Xenopus tropicalis: one gene and its partners. The protein of the gene in region 4 purifies or fractionates together with the protein of the main gene of each other region. This does not show direct contact. Links are inferred from orthologs where the notes say so. Each region holds a gene or a part of one and is shown on either strand. Other genes may lie near its edges.

Region 1 (4,693 bases), on a different chromosome or scaffold from region 4:
TTCTTCATAACCGAGACTTTCCATACCCTTTACCAGCTTAGTTGCCCTTCTCTGGACCCTCTCTAGCTCAATAATGTCCCGTTTGAGCACTGGAGACCAAAACTGAACAGCATATTCTAGATGGGGCCTTACCAGTGCTCTGTAAAGGGGAAGAATAACCCCCTCCTCCCGTGAATCTATACCCCTTTTAATACAGCTCAGAACCTTGTTTGCCCTTGCAGCTGCTGCCTGGCATTGCTTGCTACAGCCAAGTTTATTATCTACAAGGACTCCAAGATCCTTCTCCATTATGGATTTGCCTAGTGCAGTCCCATTAAGGTTATACGGGGCTTGCATATTTTTACATCCCAGGTGCATGACCTTACATTTATCCACATTAAATCTCATCTGCCACTTAGCTGCCCAGATTGCCAGTTGGTCAAGATCCTGCTGCAGGGATGTCACATCCTGGATAGAATTGACTGGTCTGCAGAGTTTTGTGTCATCTGCAAACACTGATACATTACTCATAATACCCTCCCCTAAGTCATTTATGAACAAATTAAACAAAAGTGGACCCAGTACAGAACCCTGAGGGACCCCACTGAGAACCTTACTCCAAGTAGAGAATGTGCCATTAACAACCACCCTCTGTACCCGATCCTGTAGCCAGTTTTCTATCCATGTGCAAACGACTTCACTAAGACCAATAGACCTTAGCTTAGAAAGCAGTCGTTATGATATTATCGTGACTATTACGATTTTTTCGTAAGCATATTCGTGACATTTCCGATCGTCAGAAATGATCGCATCTGATCCGAATTTTACCCATTTTGGGATTCAAACTTGTACTTTGATGAATCTGCCCCATAGGACTGCCAAATGGTATTTCACCAGTGGAGCCAGTAATATAGCAGCCCAGGCTGGCACAGCAGTGTATTTGCCAGTAAAATTATAATTTCCACCCCAGTCATTCTGCCCCTGGCTAGCCACAATTTCCCTTTAACCCCTGACTACTAGCCCAATCCGCTCTCTGTAATAACGCAAGTTTTAAAGTATAGCTCAGCCCTTCCTGGTCCTATCACGCCCCCTTTTTTTATCCAGACCTTTTACCCTGCTGGCTTCTACTCCTTGGTAGACGCTGACAACACTAAACACCCGCACTTTTTTTTTTTTAATTGGATTGAGGGTTTTTTGCATATTTACAACAAACACATATGCACACGTGTCATGCTATGTACTTCGTTCTTTATTGTTCTTCACTGATAGCATTTTTTACGTGAAATTGCACAACGATTCAAGCGGAATTAAAAAAAAACTCATGTTTTCTTATTTAGTTTTACTAAACAAAAGTTCCTTTAGTCTGTTGTAAAAAATAGGCGCACATTAACTCAAAAGTCCAACTACAACATGGCTACATCCGCCCAGGCGCCCCTCGAGGAAAAGGCGTAGCCAAAACGAAAGTGGGAGTGATATTTTCTCGTCCAAACAACTTACGCGCTTTTGGCGTTTGTAAGCGCACACTGGTGACGTTTTGGGGGTCGCACCATAAGCGCGTGGTTTCACCGGCGTACCATGGAGAGAAAAGGTGAGGGAGTAATAAGGGGTTCTATGATTATAGACGGATCATGTAATATAAAACTAAGACAGACTGACTTACAAGCCATGTATTACTAGTGAGTGGTTGCGGTTTTAAATGTATGCGAATAGCAAGTGTAAAGCTGTGAACGTTTCTTTATATTATCTTGCAATTCTTATTGAGAATAATACCATTTGTATGGAAGTGTTTTGCAATTCCTTTTAGCATATCAAGACTTTGTTTTATTACTGTACTTGATAACTTAAAGGAACAGTTCAGTGTAAAAATGAAACTGGGTAAAAGACTGCACAAAAGAAAAAAATATTTGTAATATAGTTAGGCAAAAGCAGATGTCTTAACATAATAGCCAGAATTCTACTTCCTGCTTTCAACCCTCTAACCTCTTAGTTAGTGAGTGACTTTAGGGTGGGCCACATGGGACATAACTGTTTAGTTAGTTTGTGAGCACACAGGACAGATTAAATACAAACCTTACATTTATCAACATTAAAAATCCCCAGGCTTAGTGGCAGATGATATTCAGTTTTTCTAGATCTTGCTGCAAGGATGGATACATCTTGGAAAAATTAATTTACCTGCATAGTTTTGCATGAAATGCAAGAACTAAGTCACTAATAAATAAAAGTGCACTCAATACAAAACCCTGCAGGACCACACTAAGAACAATACTCCAAGCTGTTTTTCAAAACGCATCAGTTAATACAGCTTCTGCAGCAGAAGCCTTGAAATCCATTTTTCAAAACACAATTTTTTTTTTATATTTCAATTTGAAATTTCCCATGGGGCTATAGCCATATTCTTTATTTCCCAGGGTGCCAAAGCCATGTGCCTGTGATCTGATAAACTTTAGTCACACTTTACTGCTGAGCTGCAAGTTGGAGTGATATCACCCCCTTCCCAGCAGCCAATCAGCAGAACAATGGGAAGTTAGCAAGATAGCAGCTCCCAGTAGATATCAGAATACCACTCAATAGTAAGAAATCCAAGTCCGGCTTGCTACTTCTCCAGTTACATGGGAGGGTTTTTCCTACCTATCAGTTCTAATGTGTAGCACTGGCTCTTTCTGAAAACTCAGGCACAATGCACTGTGAAATATTAGCTTTGTAAACTGTGTTTACAGACAATGGTTTTCAGAAGTATTCTCAAACTTGTGCAGTCATTTTCAGTACATAATCCTGTATGTTTTTAATGCAGTGCTGCCCGAAGATATAATATTGGCTTCTGGCCTTGTCCTTGCACACACAGATTTCTCTAATAATATTATGCACTGTAGGTAATGATATCTTTGCAGTTTTACATATTATTCTTAATTTGTTGCAATATTTGCCCAAGCAGTGATTTGTGGAGTGGTGTATCTCTCCTATCTTTATTTTCAAAGGCCCACCCTCTCTGGGATGCTCTTTTTATCTTTACATAACTTTACTAGACTTTAGTTGCTCCTGTCCCAATTTGTTTTTAAGGGCCGTGGCAAATCTCCGTTGTCGCAGGCGACTTATCTCCCAAATATGACATCCCACCGGCGAGAATGTAAATAGCTGGTGAGATGGCATACACGGTGCGGCAATTTACCGAAATCGCAGAAGTTGCTGTGAGAGGCGATTTCGGCACCGCGTATGCCATCCCACCGGCAACATACATTCTAGCCGGTGGGATGGCATTATGGGGAGATTAGTTGCGCGCCGACTAATCTACCCGTCTCTCATGGCCCTTAAGCATTGCTGGCATCATATTAGAATTGAGCATATATTTGATAAGTTTATTTAGTGCTATTTGCAATTACATTTAGGGTTTAAATGATCTGTAACTCATTCCATTCTTTTTCATTTTTTTAATATTTTTTTAGGGTTATGTCCAAATTTATGTACTGAAGTAAATTTAGATTGTTAATTTTAGCTATCCTAAATTGTATAGTCTTTGTTGACCCAGTGTATATTTGCTTTTTGCAGCAAATAAATGAGATAATATAGTCACTTTTGCTCCAGGAGTTGTAATACTTGCAATGCCGGCTCCCCTACACATCCAGAGAATTCAGCCAGCAGGAAGTGGGAGAGATGGGTGTGGCTAGTAGGGTTTGGGGGGGAATTTCTCAATAAATCAGTCCGAAGTACAACCTTTTTAATCACAATCCTTCTATATTTAAAGGAGTATAACGCAGTGGTACATTTTTAAATTTTTTTTTTTTGTAATTTAAATTTTAGAAATTTATAGAAAGAAAAAAGGCAAACAACATCGACAATATACAGAATAGCTATTTTTCATCTTAAATGAAGTGTGGGCTTATTACATAGTGAATTTGTATGCATTCACTTTTTCTTCTTTTGTGATTGTTACTCTTTTCTGTTGAGCTCTGTTTAAACAGTCAGAGTTTGTATGTTAGATCAGGGGTAGGGAACCTATGGCTCGGTAGCCAGATGTAGCTCTTTTGATGGCTGCATCTGGCTTGCTGCCAAATCTTTAATAAAAAAATTAACGGGGACGTGGCCTGCGCTTGGCGGATAGAAGACGTGTTCTAAGCCTTAGAACACGTCTTCTATCCGCCGTGCGCAGGCCACGCCCTCCTCCGCATCCCATCCACATCCGGTATCCTTGGGACCCACCCTACCTTGCCCTGCAGCATCCGCGGCCAAACATATTGTATGGCTCTCACGGAATTACATTTTAAAATATGTGGTGTTTATGGCTCTCTCAGCCAAAAAGGTTCCCGACCCCTGTGTTAGATAGAGTAAAGGTGGAAAGATAGGGTTGGTAGAGGAAAGGAAGACACAGAGGGATGGGGTAAGGTTGGGGTTTACCGGTTTCCAGATTGTTTCTGACATTTTTAATTTTAACATGTCTCCTTTAACAAACTGACTTCCCAAAACAAAGTGAAGTATTTCCTTTTACATATACTGTCAAATTGTGTGACGCATACAGCCACATTTTAGCAATTCCAATGACATCATATTTCTCATCCAGTTCCATTACCTCCAGCTCTCCCTTTTTATCATTGTCTTGCATCTATAAACAAACGCATGCAAGCTTGTATCAGCTTTTATAAAAACTTCTGGTCCTCCTGTGACATAACTTACCTCCATACAAATTTCCACCCCAATTTCCCTTTCTATGGCCAAATTC
Region 2 (4,131 bases), about 8.5 Mb from region 4:
AGTAATCAGGCCTGGGGGTGACTACAGAAATTGAACTCAGGTGTGATAAACCACAGTTAAGTTATTTTTTAACAAGGGGGGCAATCACTTTTTCACACAGGGCCATGTAGATTTGGAGTTTTTTTTCTCCCTTAATAACGTAAAACTTAATTTAAAAACTGCATTTTGTGTTCAATTATGTTATCTTTGACTAATAGTTAACGGTTTTTGATGAGCAGAAACATTTAAGTGTGACAAACATGCAAAAGAATAAGAAATCAGGAAGGGGGCAAATAGTTTTTCACACCACTGTATGTATATTGTACTACTGAGAGTTTTTGACCTATACAAGTGAGATCTCCATAAAACTATATATATTTGGTATTGGCACATTCAGAAAACATGGGGCTTTCCAAATCCAGTTGCATTTACAGGCATAAAATCATTTGTTTCTGATATATGTGTTTATATTATGGAGAATATTTGTTTCAAATTTTCAGATATTTACAAGCCTATATGTTGTTACAGAATTAGAATTACAAACAAATTCTAGCATATTTTGAAAGCTTAGATTGGCCTGAAAAAAACAATGTTGTTTTCCTGGAGAAACTAAGTTTTCCCCTCCTCCAAGGAAAGGCCCCTAAAGTGAAAGAGCGCATACTGTTTGGCAAAAGAAGTTCCAGAAGCTCCAAAGGGGATGGCAGTGAAAGGGATAAACTTAATAAGGTTAAAATGAATGTAGAACGTAGTAAGAATATATGAGTGAGAGGAGAGTAGGAGTTCAGATCATAGTTATTTACAGTACTGCAGTGCAAGTATTTAATAGGTTTCTCCTGCAGTGTACAAATATTTTTTTTCTTTGTTAATAGAGTTAAAGGAGAAGGAAATAGACATTTGATTGCTAATAGATTAGCCACAATAGTGTAAGCTAGAACACTATATTTATTCTGCTTTACCATACCTGAGTAAACATGGAGTACTTTTTATTTCTAATTTACACCATTTAAAATTTCATTCTTGAACCAACAAATGTTTTTTTTTAGTTGTACTATTGGTGTGTAGGCGTTTCTCCTACTCCTATGTAACTGGAGGAGTCCCAAGCTGGACTTGGATTTCTTACTATTGAGTGCTATTCTGATCTCTACTGGGAGCTGCTATCTTGCTACCCTCCCATTGTTCTGATCGGCTGCTGGGGGGGAGGGGAGGAAGGGGGGGTGATACCATTCCAAATTGCAGCTCAGCAGCAAAGTGTGACTGAAGTTAATCAGAGCACAAGTCACATGGTTGTGGGCTAAGCCCACGTGAAATTTCAAAATGAAATATAAAAAAATGTGTCTCTTTGAAAAACAGATTTCAGTGCAGGATTCTGCTTGAGAAGCTGCATCTCTGTGCTCTCAGCTCAGATTACAGCAGAGAGGGAGGGAAGGAGAGGGGGGAGAGAGAGGAGCAAACTGAACAAGCAGTGCTGTTTCCTGGATCATGTGTACAGAATAGAAGGAAAGATATGTGGTGTCTCTTTTCACAAAAGACTCAGAGCAGCAGGTGTTTATGTCTGTATTTACATAGACCTTTCTAATAAAGCTTACTTAGATTTTACCTTTCATTCTCCTTTAAGTGAAACTGGAATATGTGCGTGTTCTTTTACAAAAATATTATTACAGTGACAGCAACATTTTAAGTGTAAAATTTTTTTTCTCTCTTCATTCTTACAGAACACGGTGTCCTAATGCACATCCCATGGTTTCTTCAGAGAAAACAATCGCTGAGGTTATGACAGTGTTTCTAGCTAAAGCCTACTGTCTGTCATGTAGGAAGATGTTAAAAAGTGACACAGACATTGCTGAGCATGCCCAGAGAAGCAACCACAAAGCCAAATTAATAACAAGCCTGAACGAATCAATTATGGCATTTTGTTACACCCATGAAGGGATCAAAACTCCATCTGACCTGTGCTTATCAGCAAGTAATGCAAGATTTAAACCTAATATGCTTAAAAGGGCTTTAAATGACAATGATCTATCCAGTACAGATTTATTTGTAAATGAAGGAAAAAACACCATGAGAGGTTCTCCTGCAAAGAGGAAAATACAGACAAGAGATCTGGGTATCATTGTGACAGCATGGTTTTGTGAATGCCTGCAGAAGTTTTCAACCGAGGAAGATGCTGAGAAACACATCATGTTGTCTAATGGCATTTGTCACAAATGTTTGGTTTGTAGTAAGGTGGCTAATGATTTGAGTGTTATTCGGTTGCACATGAGCCGGTTCCATGGAGGAGCTCATTTAAACAATTTTATCTATTGGTGCCAAGACTGTCGTATTGAGCTGCTGAGAATTGAGAATATGATGGCGCATGTATGTGAATGTCACAAAGGTCACTCATACTATTTTGAGCAGGAAACATGGGAGGATGAACCTTCCGCATCAACACAAAGACCTAGTCCATCCAATCTGGTTGCTTCGGAACCTTCTCCTACAAACACAGCAACTACTGCTGGACACTGGCAATGCCACATTTGCGAAGAGATGTTTGATTCTGAAGATAGTGTTAAGCAACACTGTAATAATATAAGTATTCATCAGTTTCACAAATTCTCATGTGATATTTGCAAAAGCCGATTTCACAAAATAGAAACACTTTTCCGACATAGTCAGCATCAGCATGACGGGGAGATAAACATGAAATACATTTGTGGGCTTTGTGATCTTTACTTTGAAGATGAAAAGGACTTCCGTGGGCACTATAATGGTTTGCATAGTTCGGAATATGGATTTGTGCCAGAACAAATGCAGTCTCTTATAAAGAATGAGGAGCAGCCGCTTTCCATTGCTAAGCCAGATGAGAACCGCTTAACCTGTGGTTGTTTAGAAAATTTCCCAAGCAAAGCAAAGAGGGAGGAAGAACGCCGTCTCTGCTTGGCACGACTGCTACAAAAAGGAAGTCTTTGGTACAGCTGCAAAAACTGTTCAGCTACTGGGCAAACATACGAAACCTTAAAGATCCATGGTTGCGCTAAAAGCCAGCAGTCACTTGTTCTTGATATTGGTGTAAAGTGCAGCTGCTGTTCCAAATCATTTCAAGATACAGAAAGGGCTCTGCAGCACTATCATGATAAACACTGCTTCCTTCAAAAACCCAACATTAAACATTTTGCATCCCCAGATTTACCAAAGGAGGTTTTTGAATTTAAGGCCAGTGGAGCAGGTGCTCAACATAGCCAATCTGTAACCCCCCTTGCACGCAGACGGCTTGGCAAGACTCAGTATAGCTGTTCTACAAATGCTACTAAAATGGAAGATTCGCAGTCTGTAGTCCATGCTGCTAAAATCAAAAAGCCAGAAGAAGACGCCAAATCAGAGAAAATGGATATAGGTATTTTGTGTGAATCCGTCCGTTTTCCTTTTTTTTGTTTTTTTTTTTTATTCAGAAAATGTAAAGTTATTTAAAAGTCTAGACAGTTCTAGTGTCAGGCCTCCATTAAAGGAGGCATATTGCTATTCATTTATTTTCCATTCACACTCATTATTTAGCAATAATGAATAATATATATTTCCTAATTTCAATCTTGGCTAAAAAGTACTGTATTAAATAACACCTTCATTTCCATACAGATGAGAATGTTCTTCAACAGTCCATTCCCAGACAGACTGATGAAGGAGCTAGCCAATCACTTTGTCACAGTTCTACCTTTATGCAATTCTCTGAGTTGCATGCTTTTTTACACCCAGCAAAAAGTATATGAATGGGTTTTTGGGAAATTGCTAGTAGCACAAAGACAACTTTTAAAATTACATTCCATCTTGTTTTTGAGTTATATAATGCAGTGACACAAACTTGTTATTGACACCATATGTATCCTTTGAAGAACAGTAAAGGCTTTATTTATAAGTCAAAGAAAGTAGTAAGGTTATGCTGGCCCCTGTCTGCAGTTCACAGGGAATATGCATTATTCTGCAAATTTATATAGGGCCAGAAAGACCAATTTTGTCTAACTGCTTCGTAATGCCTATCCACCGGCAACAATGGCTTGTAGGGAGTGTATGGAGCAAAATCTATTTATACCTTATTAGTAATCCAGGATGCATGAAATATAGCAAATGTTGCTAGGATAAGGCTAAGGATAAGACTACACAACAGTACAAACAGTTGTG
Region 3 (4,110 bases), on a different chromosome or scaffold from region 4:
CCCTTCCAATGCAGCTTGTGCAGCTATGCCAGCAGGGACACATACAAGTTGAAAAGACACATGCGAACCCATTCAGGTAAGTCGATTGTCCATAAAAAGCTGTGTTGTATTTTTCAACAGCTCAGACAAAATACATTTTGTACATAAACTGATAATAATTTATAATGTACATGTTTTTGCTTTAAGGTGAAAAGCCATACGAATGCTACATTTGCCATGCTCGTTTTACGCAGAGTGGGACCATGAAGATGCATATTTTGCAGAAACACACTGAAAACGTGGCCAAATTTCATTGTCCCCATTGTGACACAGTAATTGCAAGGAAGAGTGACTTGGGTAGGTGTCCTTTAAGAGGTGATGGTGTAGAATTATTCAACAGATCCGATCAGTCCAAAACTTTTTGCTGTAAAGGGTAAAAAATGTAGTAACTACATGTAAATTGAGCCAAACTTCCAGTTTTTATCCCATTGTACAGAGTTCATCATTTTTACCACAACTTGTCTGCTTCTTAGAAAAGAATTGTGTGCTTCTTGAGACCCCCTATTTGTTAACCCAGGAACATTTTTCTTGCTTGTGTTGCTCTCTTTTTACATTTGAATGTGGCTCATAGGTAAAGGTTGGGGATCCCTGCTGTGTATTATGACCTGGATGATTGAGACTCTTTATAGACGCATGATAATATACCGTATATACTCGAGTATAAGCCGATCCGAATATAAGCCGAGGTACCTAATTTTACCTAAGAAAACTGGAAAAACGTATTGACTCGAGTATAAGCCCCTCAATGGTGCAGCATGAAAAGCATCCATATACCGGTATACAAAATCTTTAATCCAATAACTAAATATGGCATTTCTGTATTCTTTAAATACAGTAAATTGCTGTTCTGGATGTCACTTCAATGAATACAAAATTATTCTATATAAATTTGATAAAACAACTACTGTCCCACTAGCCATAGAGCTTAGCAAGTTATGTAAACCTCTCATAATATAGAGACCAGTACCTCTCTCTTTTTTTTTTATTTTTTCATTCATGACTGTACATAAGCTGAGAAGAACTGCATGTGGGTACTTTTGATTTAATTAGGTGAGCAGTGATTATGTAAAGAGCTTCAGAGGGGCCTCTTGATATTAATATGAGTGTATTAAGCAAGGCTAGGGCACACGGCTAGCACAAGGATATCATAACCAACTTATACTAAGCATTTCAACAGTGTGGAGTAATGAGAAAAATTGCTCCAGTGGTAGCATTCTATGCCCATAAATCCGCAGGTGGCGGCATATTTAACCTGATCACTTGCTCAGTAGGTATCAGTTACCAGTCTAAGTAAGGCTCTGGTTAGAGGGAGGTGCCACGGTGCTGCTCTTTGTGTCACTTACTGTCATGTTGGCACTCAACACTAACTATATAGTGGGGCTCTGTGCTCTGCTAGGCTGTTCTGCTGCCGTTGTCCTGGCATCCACGGGGGTCCAGGGAGGGGGGGGCTCGGGGGTGCTCCTCAATGTGTCCCTATGTGCTGCGCGCTGCACATAACGTAGCGCGCACGCCGCAGGCACAGTCTGCCTACGGCTCGGGGGGTGCTCCTCCTGTGCTCCAGTGTGTCCCAAAGTGCAGCGGCACGAAGAGCATAATGTCGCGCCCCTTGTACATGCTCCTGAAGGCCGCGCAACTACCGTATTCCATGTAGTTTGGGTGCAACTACCGTATATACCAGAGTATAAGCCGATTGTTACTTTTTAAGCACATTTTTAGGGCTGAAAACTCGGCTTATACTCGATAAATAAAAGTGGTCCTCTATCCAAACACTTTTTTTTCTGTACTGAAGGATACTGTTATTCTTAGCAACTTTGAATACATATTTGTTGAACATTTTCAGTGGTTTTTAGGTTATTAAATGGAGTAAAATGAAGAACCCTCTAATGAGCTGCTTCTTATTTCACAGCCTAACTGGGTAGGGAGGGATTTGATCACAAAGAGGGCTTCTCAATGGAAGCTGATTTGTTTTTATTGTGCTTTTATGAACCAAATGTGACTTCCAGTTTCACATTTAGCCCTGTTTTGTTCAAGAAACAGTCAGTAGGTAAAATGTGTATTTGTATAAATCTTTTTTTTTTCATTTTCCTCAAGGTGTCCATTTGCGAAAGCAACATTCCTACATTGAGCAAGGAAAGAAGTGTCGCTACTGTGACACAGTGTTCCATGAGCGTTATGCACTAATCCAGCACCAGAAGTCTCATAAAAATGAAAAACGATTTAAATGTGACCAGTGTGAATATGCTTGCAGACAGGTATAGTTACTATAAAAATGTTATACAGTACTTTTGTATTGTTGCCTAGGATTAAATGTATCCATATTTTAAAGGGGAAATTCAGGTTATCTAATCAGTGTTTGGTTGGCCTTATTTGTTTTGTATAATTTTTGAATTGTCTGCTTCCGGCAACGAAAAGAGTTTGACAGAATGAATTTATTTTTTCTTATTTGTTTGGCATCTATACATCTCCCCAATTATTGTGTGGTTGCTAGAGTAATTAAGTTATAACAAACCAGTTTAAATCCTGGGTATTATGCCACAAAAAGTGGAGATTGATTCCATATGCTGTTTGAACGCTACTGTTTATCTGACACTAAATTTAACATTAAAGGGATAGTAATGCTTTATTTTACCAGAAAGTGAAGAAGTTATGCCTTTATAATTCGATATAATGGGAAAATCAAGCCTGTCCAAGTGACATCTGCCAGGTTTTTGCCCATATACATCAGTTGGGGTGGTTCTTCGGCCAGATAATCTGCCAAATAGGTCTGGATGACTCTAATCGGTGGCTTAAATCTACCCGTGTGCGATCCTCTCTGATGTGTCAGGAGTAGGTGGGGGCTGTGGGCCAAAATTGGTTTGGGTACCTGTTTACATTTGTATTCAGGCAATTGACGATTGGCAAAACATTTCATACTGTTCATGCACAAAATTTCACATGTTTGTGTTGCAGTCTAAAAAGATATTTAACATTCTTTTTTGTAGGAGCGACACATGATTATGCACAAAAGGACCCATACTGGTGAGAAGCCTTATGCCTGTAGCCATTGTGATAAAACATTTCGACAGAAACAGCTGCTTGATATGCACTTCAAAAGATACCATGACCCAAGTTTTGTTCCTGCAGCATTTGTGTGCTCCAAGTGTGGGAAAACATTTACTCGAAGGGTATGTTTGCATTTTTTCCTTCCTTTACTGGTAGAAGTTAAATTTGGCTTACTATCGCATAACTTAAGATGGTTGCACCCACAGGGGCGTATTTATAATGGAGCACCCAAGGGCCGGTGCATAGGACAGCAGTGCTTGCATGTTTTTTTTGTTTTTTATTTAAAAAAAAAAAAAAAGCCTCTGCAGGGGTCGGGTAGGGGGGTCGGGACACTCTTTGGGAGTGACGTCACATTCACATCACTTCCGCTATGTTGCTTCGTGTAACGTCATGCGCCTAGGGTGGCACTGGACCTATATGCACCCCTGTGCACGTAGAAGGACATTTGAGACTTTTCTTGCTTCAGGGATTCAGAGAGGATGTATTAGTCCATCCCAAAAATTGTCACAAAGCATATGGTGAGAAATGGATGATAGGGAGGTAAATGGGAAACTTGAATACTTCAGACTGGTGCATAAGATTTTATCCACTATGTTTATTTCCATGTGCCGTATCTATTTTCTAACTAATTTAGTTACCCTGAAATATTAGGTGAGTCAGATTAGAGTGGGCATGGTGGTTTGTGTGCAGGTATTAAGGTTTTTGTAAATGTATTTGCTGTTAACAGCAATATGTATCTTACTGTTTAACAACATTTGCACGCTGATCGCCGACTCCTGAAACAGTGTTGCAAGCCACTTGATTAGCACCAATAAAATTTGCAATTTGTTATTTGAGTGATATGGATAAAGCTCTGGGAAAGATTTGGAATCATGGCAATAATGACTTTGTATATAGAGTGTTAAGGATAAAGAAATAAAAAAAAAAAAAATCCCCTGTTGTGAAGAAATGACCTAAAACCTCTGTTCTGTTTGTAGAATACAATGTCAAGACATGCAGATAATTGCACTGGGCCTGATGGTACAGATG
Region 4 (4,131 bases):
ATACAAACTGCAGATATGCCCTGGTCTGAATCAAATCCATGTTCCCAGTGCTGCTCAGCAGGAATGCCTAATACAATGCTACTGGGATATTGATCCAGAAACGAGTCCAATTGCCAATCTGGAGCTGGTAAATGCAGCTGTTAACATTTTGCAGCTCTGTATGGGCTTTTTCATGTTCCACCAACTCAAAGTTTCAAAGTAGAATTGGATTATTATTATTATTATATTTACTGTGATACAAACACCAGAAATGAAGTGTTTTACATCGGCATACTTCTGTATACACAAGGTCACGGCAAACGCAGTAAAGATCTGTAGTGGGCCAAACTTGGATATTAAGATACTTAAACAAAAAAAATTGCCCACGTTTAATATATTGCAAAACAGAAGTTCTCACCAGTCTTCGGTTTCTGGACTCGTTTTTTAGGTGCAGGTTTCTTCTCTGCCACTTTAGCACTTGACACTTTGGCACTGGGAGCCGGTGCAGGGGCGCTGGGAGCACTGGTCATTATGGGAGTATCCTCATCTTCATCTAATGCAATTACTGGAGCTAGACAAAAATACAACAGAACCAGTCACATTAATACCAAGACATAACTCAGATCTGCCAGGATACAGAATGGTTAATATATGTTGTGTTATGTTATCTATGAATATAGCATGTTTCATTGCAGCAGAAAAACAAGCCAACATATGGCTGAACTGGGGTAAACATACATGTGTGATCCTTTATTTCATTGTGGTCCCATTTGTACTGGGCTCATAAAACCCCCAAAACACGTTGCCATATGTAATGTATTACTATGTGAATATCCCAAGCAGCTATTCTTGATAAAACATACCTGCTTTGTCTTTCTGTGGAGAGTTTTCTGGGCTTTCAATCTTTTTAGCTTTCCTGTTAAATAAGTTAAACCATTTTAGACAAAACATCAAATCTTACAGAAAAAAAAGCCTTTAAATCAGTAGTCACCAACTCTGTATGTTTGCAATTCTGTTACTTTTTATAAGTTTTTTAAATCACTCCCCCTCATTCAAGTTTCTACCTGGTTGCCAGGGAAAAAATGCATGTTGTCTATATAATACTAACATTTAGAAGCTACCAATTTCCATCAGGATGCCAGTAAGGTAGTTTCCAATCACATCCTTTTTTTAGTAAGCAGCATTAAATGGTGGAAACAAAATTGTCACCAAGAAATGGCTTAAGTTGATTTGTACCTAAAGGGAGGGGAGAGTACTCACTTGGGCGCAGCTCTGGGCTTTTTGGCTGGCTTTGCAACTACAAAGGATTCATCTTCTGAATCAGATTTTGGGTTGAAATCACTGAATTCACTGTCACTCTTCTCCTGAGGCATCTTTATGCCGCTTCCCTCTTCTTCACCGTCTTCATCAGAGCTCAACATATAGTTCACTTTAGCTAGAAGCAAATAAAAACATTTGTTATCAAGCAGAACCCTTTTATGTGGTAACACATTCCATAGCAGGCCTAGGCAACTATCAGTAAATGAATGAATGAAACAATAAAGAAGCTCTAAAAACAAACAAAAAAACCCCCAGCACTGGCCTCTATAGGGCCCCCTTTTTGCACCAGTACTTGCATCAGAGGCATTTGTCGGGAAGCCCTAACACCATGTTAAACACTATGTTCATAAAACCCCAACTGTGTTCAGACTGCAGAGGTAAATTTGCTACTAGCATTTCTCACCTGCAACATTGCGGCGTGGCTGAGCAGCACGTGGCACCACTTCTTCCTCGGACTCGCTCTCTGAATCCTGGAATGTGCTCTTTGCCTCTTTTTTTACTGGCTTGAAGGGTAACGTTGCCTGCTTCTTGTCTTTGACAGCCTTTGCGCCTTTATGTAAAAGCAGTTATAGAAATGTTAGATTGCAGCATAACACCAGCATGCAAACAGAGAAGCTTTCATTAAAAACCATTTACACACCTGGCTCTTTTTTAACTTTTTTGCTTAATCTTTCGGCAAGCGTTAGGCTCTCTGGACTTTGTTCTGGTGAATTTAAGCTGTCTCCTTCACCATCGTCTTCGAAATCCATCTTCTTAGCAACATCCTCACCCTAACAAATGGCAAATGTTTGGGTACATTTTATAAATGCAAAAGTCAATACATATTCTATATATACATATGCTCAAAAAGGCCAGTTATTGTTGAGCCAAGCAAACCTAAATCTATACAGAAACGCTCGTTTACCTTAATTCTCTTTTTCATCTTTTTGGTGGCTTCCGCTTTCATGGCTGTTGTGACCTTAGGGACAACACGCCTGCCATGTGGAGATGGCATAATTTCCTGCAATTGCATTTTCTTTACTTGCGGTCTCCCACTCTTTCCTTTAACCACTTTGCCTGTTGTTACGGACTGTTCTTCCCTTTCTTTGGCTTCTACACGCTGTCACAAAGCAAGAACACAACTCCTGTTGTTGGAACCGCAGCAATTTATATAAAGCAACAAATACCAAATAGACAAAGGAAGGATAGATGTTACTACTTACGTCTAGCTCCTCAACAAATGCAGAAAGGTCTTCTTTCCACAAGTCAGAAGGTGATTTCTTTTTCAGGTCCTGAAGCTCTGCGTTCTAAAAACAAAATGACAGCATTTATTGGAAATGCCAGATAGTGACACTCACCACTAGAGAAGGTGGAAGTATTTAAATATTATCAAACCAACATCAAGGCAACTCCATATTTAGTAATAAGTAAATGCTATGCAGTAAAACCCAAGCAAACATCTCTGATGAGTTATCCGACCACTGAAAGTCACAATTAAAGAAGGGTTGGTTTCTGGAGACAGTAATGTATGTTTGGAAGCACCCCCAGTATAGTATCTGACTGTCGCCAGTGGTGTAACGCCCTAAACTGGCCAGGTCCATAATCCAGGAAAGCAAGAAAAAATGGAAGCCCAGCACACACCAAGATATGATGCTGTAGCAGAGATTTATGGTACCATACCATATGGCTATATAAGGCTGACATTTCATGGGCTTGTATCTGCCGACCACTACTGGTCATAATATCTAACCATCTTAGAATTGGCAAATAAGCCACATTTGTTCCTAGTCAAACCCAAACAACTAAATTCACTTAAGATGGAAAAACAACTCTAAAGAACTATTTTAGTTCTTTGCCATTTAAGACTTTTTGAAAGGTCTTTTATTCAGACAACCAAATCTTTGTAATGATTTTAGAGCCTTTTGAGTTTGAAGATAACCAGCCTCTGGGATGTAATGTAGAAGAACCTATTAAACTGTGTTCCCCTGTTCACACCTCAGGAGCAGTAGAAACCCACAAATAATCCCTGCATACTACAAAAAGAACATATACTGAGGTGGTACTGCAATTAAAAAGTTTTTTAATATATATTTATTGTGCAGACTGTAGGAGCAGTGCCAGCATTGTGTCACTGTAGGCTGCCTGTGTGTGCCATACACACGGGCAGCATAGGGCAAGCAGAGTATGGCACACACAGGTAGGGTAGGGAAGGCAGAGTATGGCACACACAGGCCAAGTATGGCACAAACCAGCCAAGAATGGCACACACAGTGAAAGTATGGCACACACAGGCAGGGTAGGGCAGGCAGAGTATGGCAGGTTTTTGCTGTACTACAACCATTAATATGGGTATGGTCATGTGATAACATGGGTGTGGTTTCAAGTTAATCAAACCCTGTAGAATAGTAAAAAGGTTTGCATATATCTGCTTTTAAAAAGGTTCAAATAAAAAAGATCTAATTTTAACATGGAGCAATAGAATCCCCAATACTTAGGCCCTATAAGATGAAATGGAGGTCTGTGAAACTACAACTGCTTGGGTTGCAGTCCTAGCTGCTTGTTGCAGGTAAGGTCATGTAGCTTGCATCTCAGGACTTGGACAGATATGATAGAAAATGACTAGTCTCAGCACTGTCAAGTAAAAGTCGGAAACACATTTTGCTCATTTGTATCAGGTTTACAACAGTCACGTAGGCTGCATGTCATGGTCATACCTTGACGTCTCTCTGCTTACACAGCTCATCTTTCTTTTCTTTACTCAGGTTCCACAAAGGCATGCCAAGAAGGTAATTGAAATCAGGCCCAGCTGTATTGACTTCTGTTTCTTCTTCTTCTAACAGTTCACCGGCTTCT
Region 5 (4,131 bases), about 32 Mb from region 4:
GGAGGCGTTATATGTTCTGAATACTTTGGCTGTTAGTCCCTCCATCAGGTCCTGAAGGTGCTTGTTCAAAATGCTTGTCTGAAAGAAGGGATATAAAAAGACATAAACCTTCATATGTCCTAGGCAGGTTTACAGAAAAATCCTGAATGTCCAAAGTCAAATCTACATACGTTGAGTCTGTCAAACAGGTCGTCGTCAGGCTGCTTGTTTTCCATGAAGAGCTGAAGATTTTTGAAAACCTGAGCAGAGCACCAGAGAAGGAAAATTTTAGTACATAAAGTCACAGCTTCCTTCCATGTTTATTGGGGAGATTTTTCAGCTAAACAAATTTAGAAATGCAACTCCGTATACTTACCCTTTTCTCCACTGGCACTTTGTTGTAGTAGCGGATGGAATCTTTACCCGGGAAGTCGAACTCTACCACAAACTCTTGGCCGTCCAACTCTTGGAAGAGATTGATGTGCTCCACTCGCAAGGAGCAACAACCTACAGTATCTGCTGTTTCTCCCTCTTCCTTTTCGTTGCCAGCTCTCAATGCAAGCTGAAAAGGATTGATTTGGTGGGTAGAATTAGGATACAAGCTAAGGTGAAACATACAAACATGGGGGGGGGGGGGTAAGTAATGCCAGGCCAGCAGCACTCCTGGAATAGCTTAGGGTCACAAGAAAGAATTCCACAAAATGGGAAGGCATACAGCCTATACAGTGACTACTTCAGGAATAGCCTCTGCTGTCTGGGATAATCCTTGGACTGCAAAAATATCTAGTTTAGTTGCAGGCCTGCCTAGATGACCTGACCCATACCTCCTTAGGACACAACAAGCAGTGTATACTGTACTAGTTGCAATAAACATGCATGGCCACTTCCCATCATCCCATTTAGAACAGCAGACAGTATCATCTGCAATCAGACAGGTTCACGGGATGGGTTGTTGAAACCCACCCTTGACCTTTGTTATATATCCTAATAGTTTAGCAGTGTTGATGGGCCGAGTAGACACATGCAAGACCAAACGCAGTTTTGTATCTATCAAACACAAAAGGGCCTCACCTTATCTATAAAGTAGAGCGCTACTGCTCTCTGTCGGACTTTCATCTCTTTGGACTTCCAGTCCTCTTTGTAAGTATTGCGGATCTTTTCAACACACATCTTGAGCCTTCGGGCAGTCTCGTACTTCTGCCAGTCCTTCTCACCCTGAAAGGCAAACAGGAATTGTTAGTTGCAGGAATTCAATTTTCTAGATCCATTTCCATTAGGATATAAAGCAACAACAGAAGTGCCTTAGTGGCCAGGCTGCCCATAATTATCTATTTACCTTGATTCGGGAGCTAGGGTTGAGCATGATGTATTTGATGGAACCCTGAATGTTTTCTGTCCATGATACCAGCCATGTAACCTTGCCGTCATGCCGAACCTCTTTCCACTTGTGACCAGCAGGAGCAACAGGATATTTTGAGTCTCTAAAATCAAGGGGGGTGGGGGAAGTGATAATAAAAAAAATTCCTACATTCCAAACACACAAGGTACATGAACACAAATTGGTATTGCTGGGTTTTTACATACTTGCTGCAGTTGATGATGATGTCTTCCGGCATTATCCTCTTCTTAAGTTTGCCCATCTTGGGGTGATCTCCTCTGCCCCTGAACAGGCCGGGAGGTTCTATGCGGAAGTTAGCAATACGTTCCCTGTGGTTGTCCATGACACAAAAGCCGTACTCCTGCAGTAACCGCTCATTCTCTTCTTTGATTTTCTGTAGCAGGAATAAAAGAAATGAGGCCCAAAATCCCTTGTCTGACCTATTATCGACTAGAACCCATAGCAGCTAATTGTTCTGCATTACTGAGCAAAACTCAATTTCTCAAGGTTAAGCACCTGCTTCTCTTCCTTTGTCATGTTTTTCCTCGCTTCCGATTGCTCTTTAAAGTACTGGCTCATCGCGTTGAAGTCGCATTTGCCCAGGTTGGTGATTAGGTTTCTTTCGTCGGCTGTCATCTCCTGAAAGCGGCCAGGAAGTCGGTTGAATTAGTTGGACAGATTCAAAGAGTTAGGGATTAAATCAAACAAAGAAAAAAAAAAAAAAAAAAACTACCTTTTTCCAGTCTTTGAAGAAGTTCTTCCGAAAGATATCCTTAGTAGTGTACTCGTGGTCTAACATTTTTGCAAAGAACGTGGCCACTTCTTCGGCTTTTGGGCTGAGCTTTACAAGATTACCTGCAGCGAGCAGAAGATATAAGGATAAAGGCCCATTTGAATATATTCACCATCCTCTGCAGATATGAAGGGCCAGGGGTTTATTCCCAATTATTCTACCAGCAAGGGGGTTGTATAGGTAAGTGGTTTATTAACAGCAAGTACAAAAGCAAAGCTGGTACCTGAAGGCACGGGGACACCTGGGAATACTGCAGAGCCACTTACCATCATAGTAAAATTTCACATTGTCAGGGAGAGGTTCATAGGGGGGAGCAAACACTGGTCCTTTATGTTCCAAGAATTTCCACTTAATGCCATCAGCATGCCGCTCCTCCTCCCACCTATAGGAGTTAGAAGTGTTAGAAATGGAAGAAATGCTGTACAGTCCATAAAATACAATAACGCACGGCACGAAGCGGTTACCATTTCCACTTCTCTTCCTCCTCCTTTTTTACTTTTTTCTTCTTCACTTCCCCCTCGTTGCCTTTGCCCTTACTTTTTTTCTTGGGCTTAATATCCTGTGAAGGGAAACTATGTTTTTAAACTGCTTCCTAAACAACCAACCAGATGGACACTTAGGGGCATAAATTGGTGATGCTGGCCTACAAAGGATAATATGCCCCTTAGTTACTCCGCAATAGACCTCACCTCTTCCTCCTGCTTCCGCTTCTTCCCTTTTTTCTCATCTTCAGATTTGATCTTCTTAGGTTTGTAATCCTCACTAAAACCAGAATGACACAGTAGGTAAAATCAGCACCCACAGGAAAACTTTAGGGCAGTTCTGCTTTATGATCTGCTACATGACAACATTTTGTGTGGGCAGAGTTTCATTCTAATAAAAGAGGGTGGGGGTAAAAACCACATACACACTGCTTCAGTTATATGTAAGCTATTGGCTGGACACTGTCATATCTTACACAGTCACAGTACAATACAGTTTGTGAAACTCAAGGCCAGGCTGTTAAATGCCCTTTGGAAAGGCCAGCTTTGTGCCAAGACTTAGATTGTCTAGTGTATTCCCTCCTTATATATTACCTATATAGAATAACTCCGGAATATCTGAAGCAAGCAATATGGCAGAGTAGGTTGATGACATTTATTCCAACTCATTCTATTAAGACTGCGGCTATTAATCTTGGATGAGAGGAATACAAGTGCAGTAGTAGGTGGACAACCTACTCCCTTCACCATTCTAACCATTCCCTGCTCACGTACTCATCGTCTCTTGGCCTCTTCATTGCCTTATTTTCCTTGGGGGACATGTGGAAGCCGTCATCTTCTGGCTCATCTTTAACCCGCACAGGACTAGAAGAGAAGAAGCAGGGTGTTCAATAAGAGAAACTCCGCACCCAGTGGCAGTATATTTGCTCTACCGACCCATTGCCTTTACCTAGAGAAACCATTTGCTTTTTTCACTTTAACACTGCCGCTGGAAGATTTCATCTGCAAGAGATAAAAGCAGTCAGGTTAAACAGTGATACTGGTCATAGTGAATACAATAAATATGAGTGCAGGAGGTCCTCAAAACCTCGTTTTGTATGATATTCGGTGCGTGTATGGCAAGTCGGCGAGTCGACCAATATCGCAGGAGGCTGCTGATATATCGGTCAACTCGCCGATCGGACCGGTTAAAAGATTTTGATCGGGCGCCATAGAAGGAGCCTGAGCAAGTTCTGCCATCAGAGCTGAATCGGCAGAAGGAGGTAGAAATCCTATTGTTTCTACCACCTTATCTGCCGTTTCAGCTCTGAACAGTTAGTGGCTGATTGAACGATCTTTCGTGCGACCATCCCAAATCGCCACGTGTGTGGCCACCTTAATGGAGATGACAGCCTCACCTTTTCTTCTTTTCTCTTCTCCCGATCTTTATCTCTGTGTTTATCTTTATGCTTTTCTCCATCTCTATGCTTCTCAGCATCTTTCTCTTTGTGTTTCTCTCC

What was found.
Region 1: the proteins of top2a (region 4) and srpk1 fractionate together in Homo sapiens (co-fractionation; 3 studies listed by BioGRID and IntAct, with this or other methods). This does not show direct contact. The link is inferred for Xenopus tropicalis from reciprocal best matches to the Homo sapiens genes TOP2A and SRPK1.
Region 2: the proteins of top2a (region 4) and znf451 purify together in Homo sapiens (affinity purification with mass spectrometry; 3 studies listed by BioGRID and IntAct, with this or other methods). This does not show direct contact. The link is inferred for Xenopus tropicalis from reciprocal best matches to the Homo sapiens genes TOP2A and ZNF451.
Region 3: the proteins of top2a (region 4) and ctcf purify together in Homo sapiens (affinity purification with mass spectrometry; 3 studies listed by BioGRID and IntAct, with this or other methods). This does not show direct contact. The link is inferred for Xenopus tropicalis from reciprocal best matches to the Homo sapiens genes TOP2A and CTCF.
Region 5: the proteins of top2a (region 4) and top1.1 purify together in Homo sapiens (co-immunoprecipitation; 4 studies listed by BioGRID and IntAct, with this or other methods). This does not show direct contact. The link is inferred for Xenopus tropicalis from reciprocal best matches to the Homo sapiens genes TOP2A and TOP1.

What each region holds. Positions count from the first base shown.
Region 1 is NC_030678.2:69,859,111-69,863,803, reverse strand, and holds the start of srpk1 (SRSF protein kinase 1), read left to right. Parts: upstream 1-1,532; 5' UTR 1,533-1,554; coding exon 1,555-1,567; intron 1,568-4,693. UniProt on the Homo sapiens protein: Serine/arginine-rich protein-specific kinase which specifically phosphorylates its substrates at serine residues located in regions rich in arginine/serine dipeptides, known as RS domains and is involved in the phosphorylation of SR splicing factors and the regulation of splicing.
Region 2 is NC_030686.2:17,111,053-17,115,183, reverse strand, and holds part of znf451 (E3 SUMO-protein ligase ZNF451), read left to right. Parts: intron 1-1,691; coding exon 1,692-3,352; intron 3,353-4,131. UniProt on the Homo sapiens protein: E3 SUMO-protein ligase; has a preference for SUMO2 and SUMO3 and facilitates UBE2I/UBC9-mediated sumoylation of target proteins. Plays a role in protein SUMO2 modification in response to stress caused by DNA damage and by proteasome inhibitors (in vitro).
Region 3 is NC_030680.2:41,135,123-41,139,232, forward strand, and holds part of ctcf (transcriptional repressor CTCF), read left to right. Parts: coding exon 1-76; intron 77-186; coding exon 187-336; intron 337-2,130; coding exon 2,131-2,291; intron 2,292-3,020; coding exon 3,021-3,203; intron 3,204-4,058; coding exon 4,059-4,110.
Region 4 is NC_030686.2:8,636,170-8,640,300, reverse strand, and holds part of top2a (DNA topoisomerase 2-alpha), read right to left. Parts: coding exon 3,993-4,131; intron 2,586-3,992; coding exon 2,502-2,585; intron 2,399-2,501; coding exon 2,204-2,398; intron 2,070-2,203; coding exon 1,940-2,069; intron 1,850-1,939; coding exon 1,703-1,849; intron 1,415-1,702; coding exon 1,240-1,414; intron 896-1,239; coding exon 843-895; intron 551-842; coding exon 398-550; intron 1-397. UniProt on the Homo sapiens protein: Key decatenating enzyme that alters DNA topology by binding to two double-stranded DNA molecules, generating a double-stranded break in one of the strands, passing the intact strand through the broken strand, and religating the broken strand.
Region 5 is NC_030686.2:40,922,236-40,926,366, forward strand, and holds part of top1.1 (DNA topoisomerase 1), read right to left. Parts: coding exon 4,030-4,131; intron 3,635-4,029; coding exon 3,582-3,634; intron 3,497-3,581; coding exon 3,407-3,496; intron 2,913-3,406; coding exon 2,840-2,912; intron 2,710-2,839; coding exon 2,615-2,709; intron 2,533-2,614; coding exon 2,417-2,532; intron 2,213-2,416; coding exon 2,091-2,212; intron 1,997-2,090; coding exon 1,874-1,996; intron 1,752-1,873; coding exon 1,564-1,751; intron 1,461-1,563; coding exon 1,316-1,460; intron 1,195-1,315; coding exon 1,051-1,194; intron 542-1,050; coding exon 356-541; intron 240-355; coding exon 171-239; intron 79-170; coding exon 1-78. UniProt on the Homo sapiens protein: Releases the supercoiling and torsional tension of DNA introduced during the DNA replication and transcription by transiently cleaving and rejoining one strand of the DNA duplex.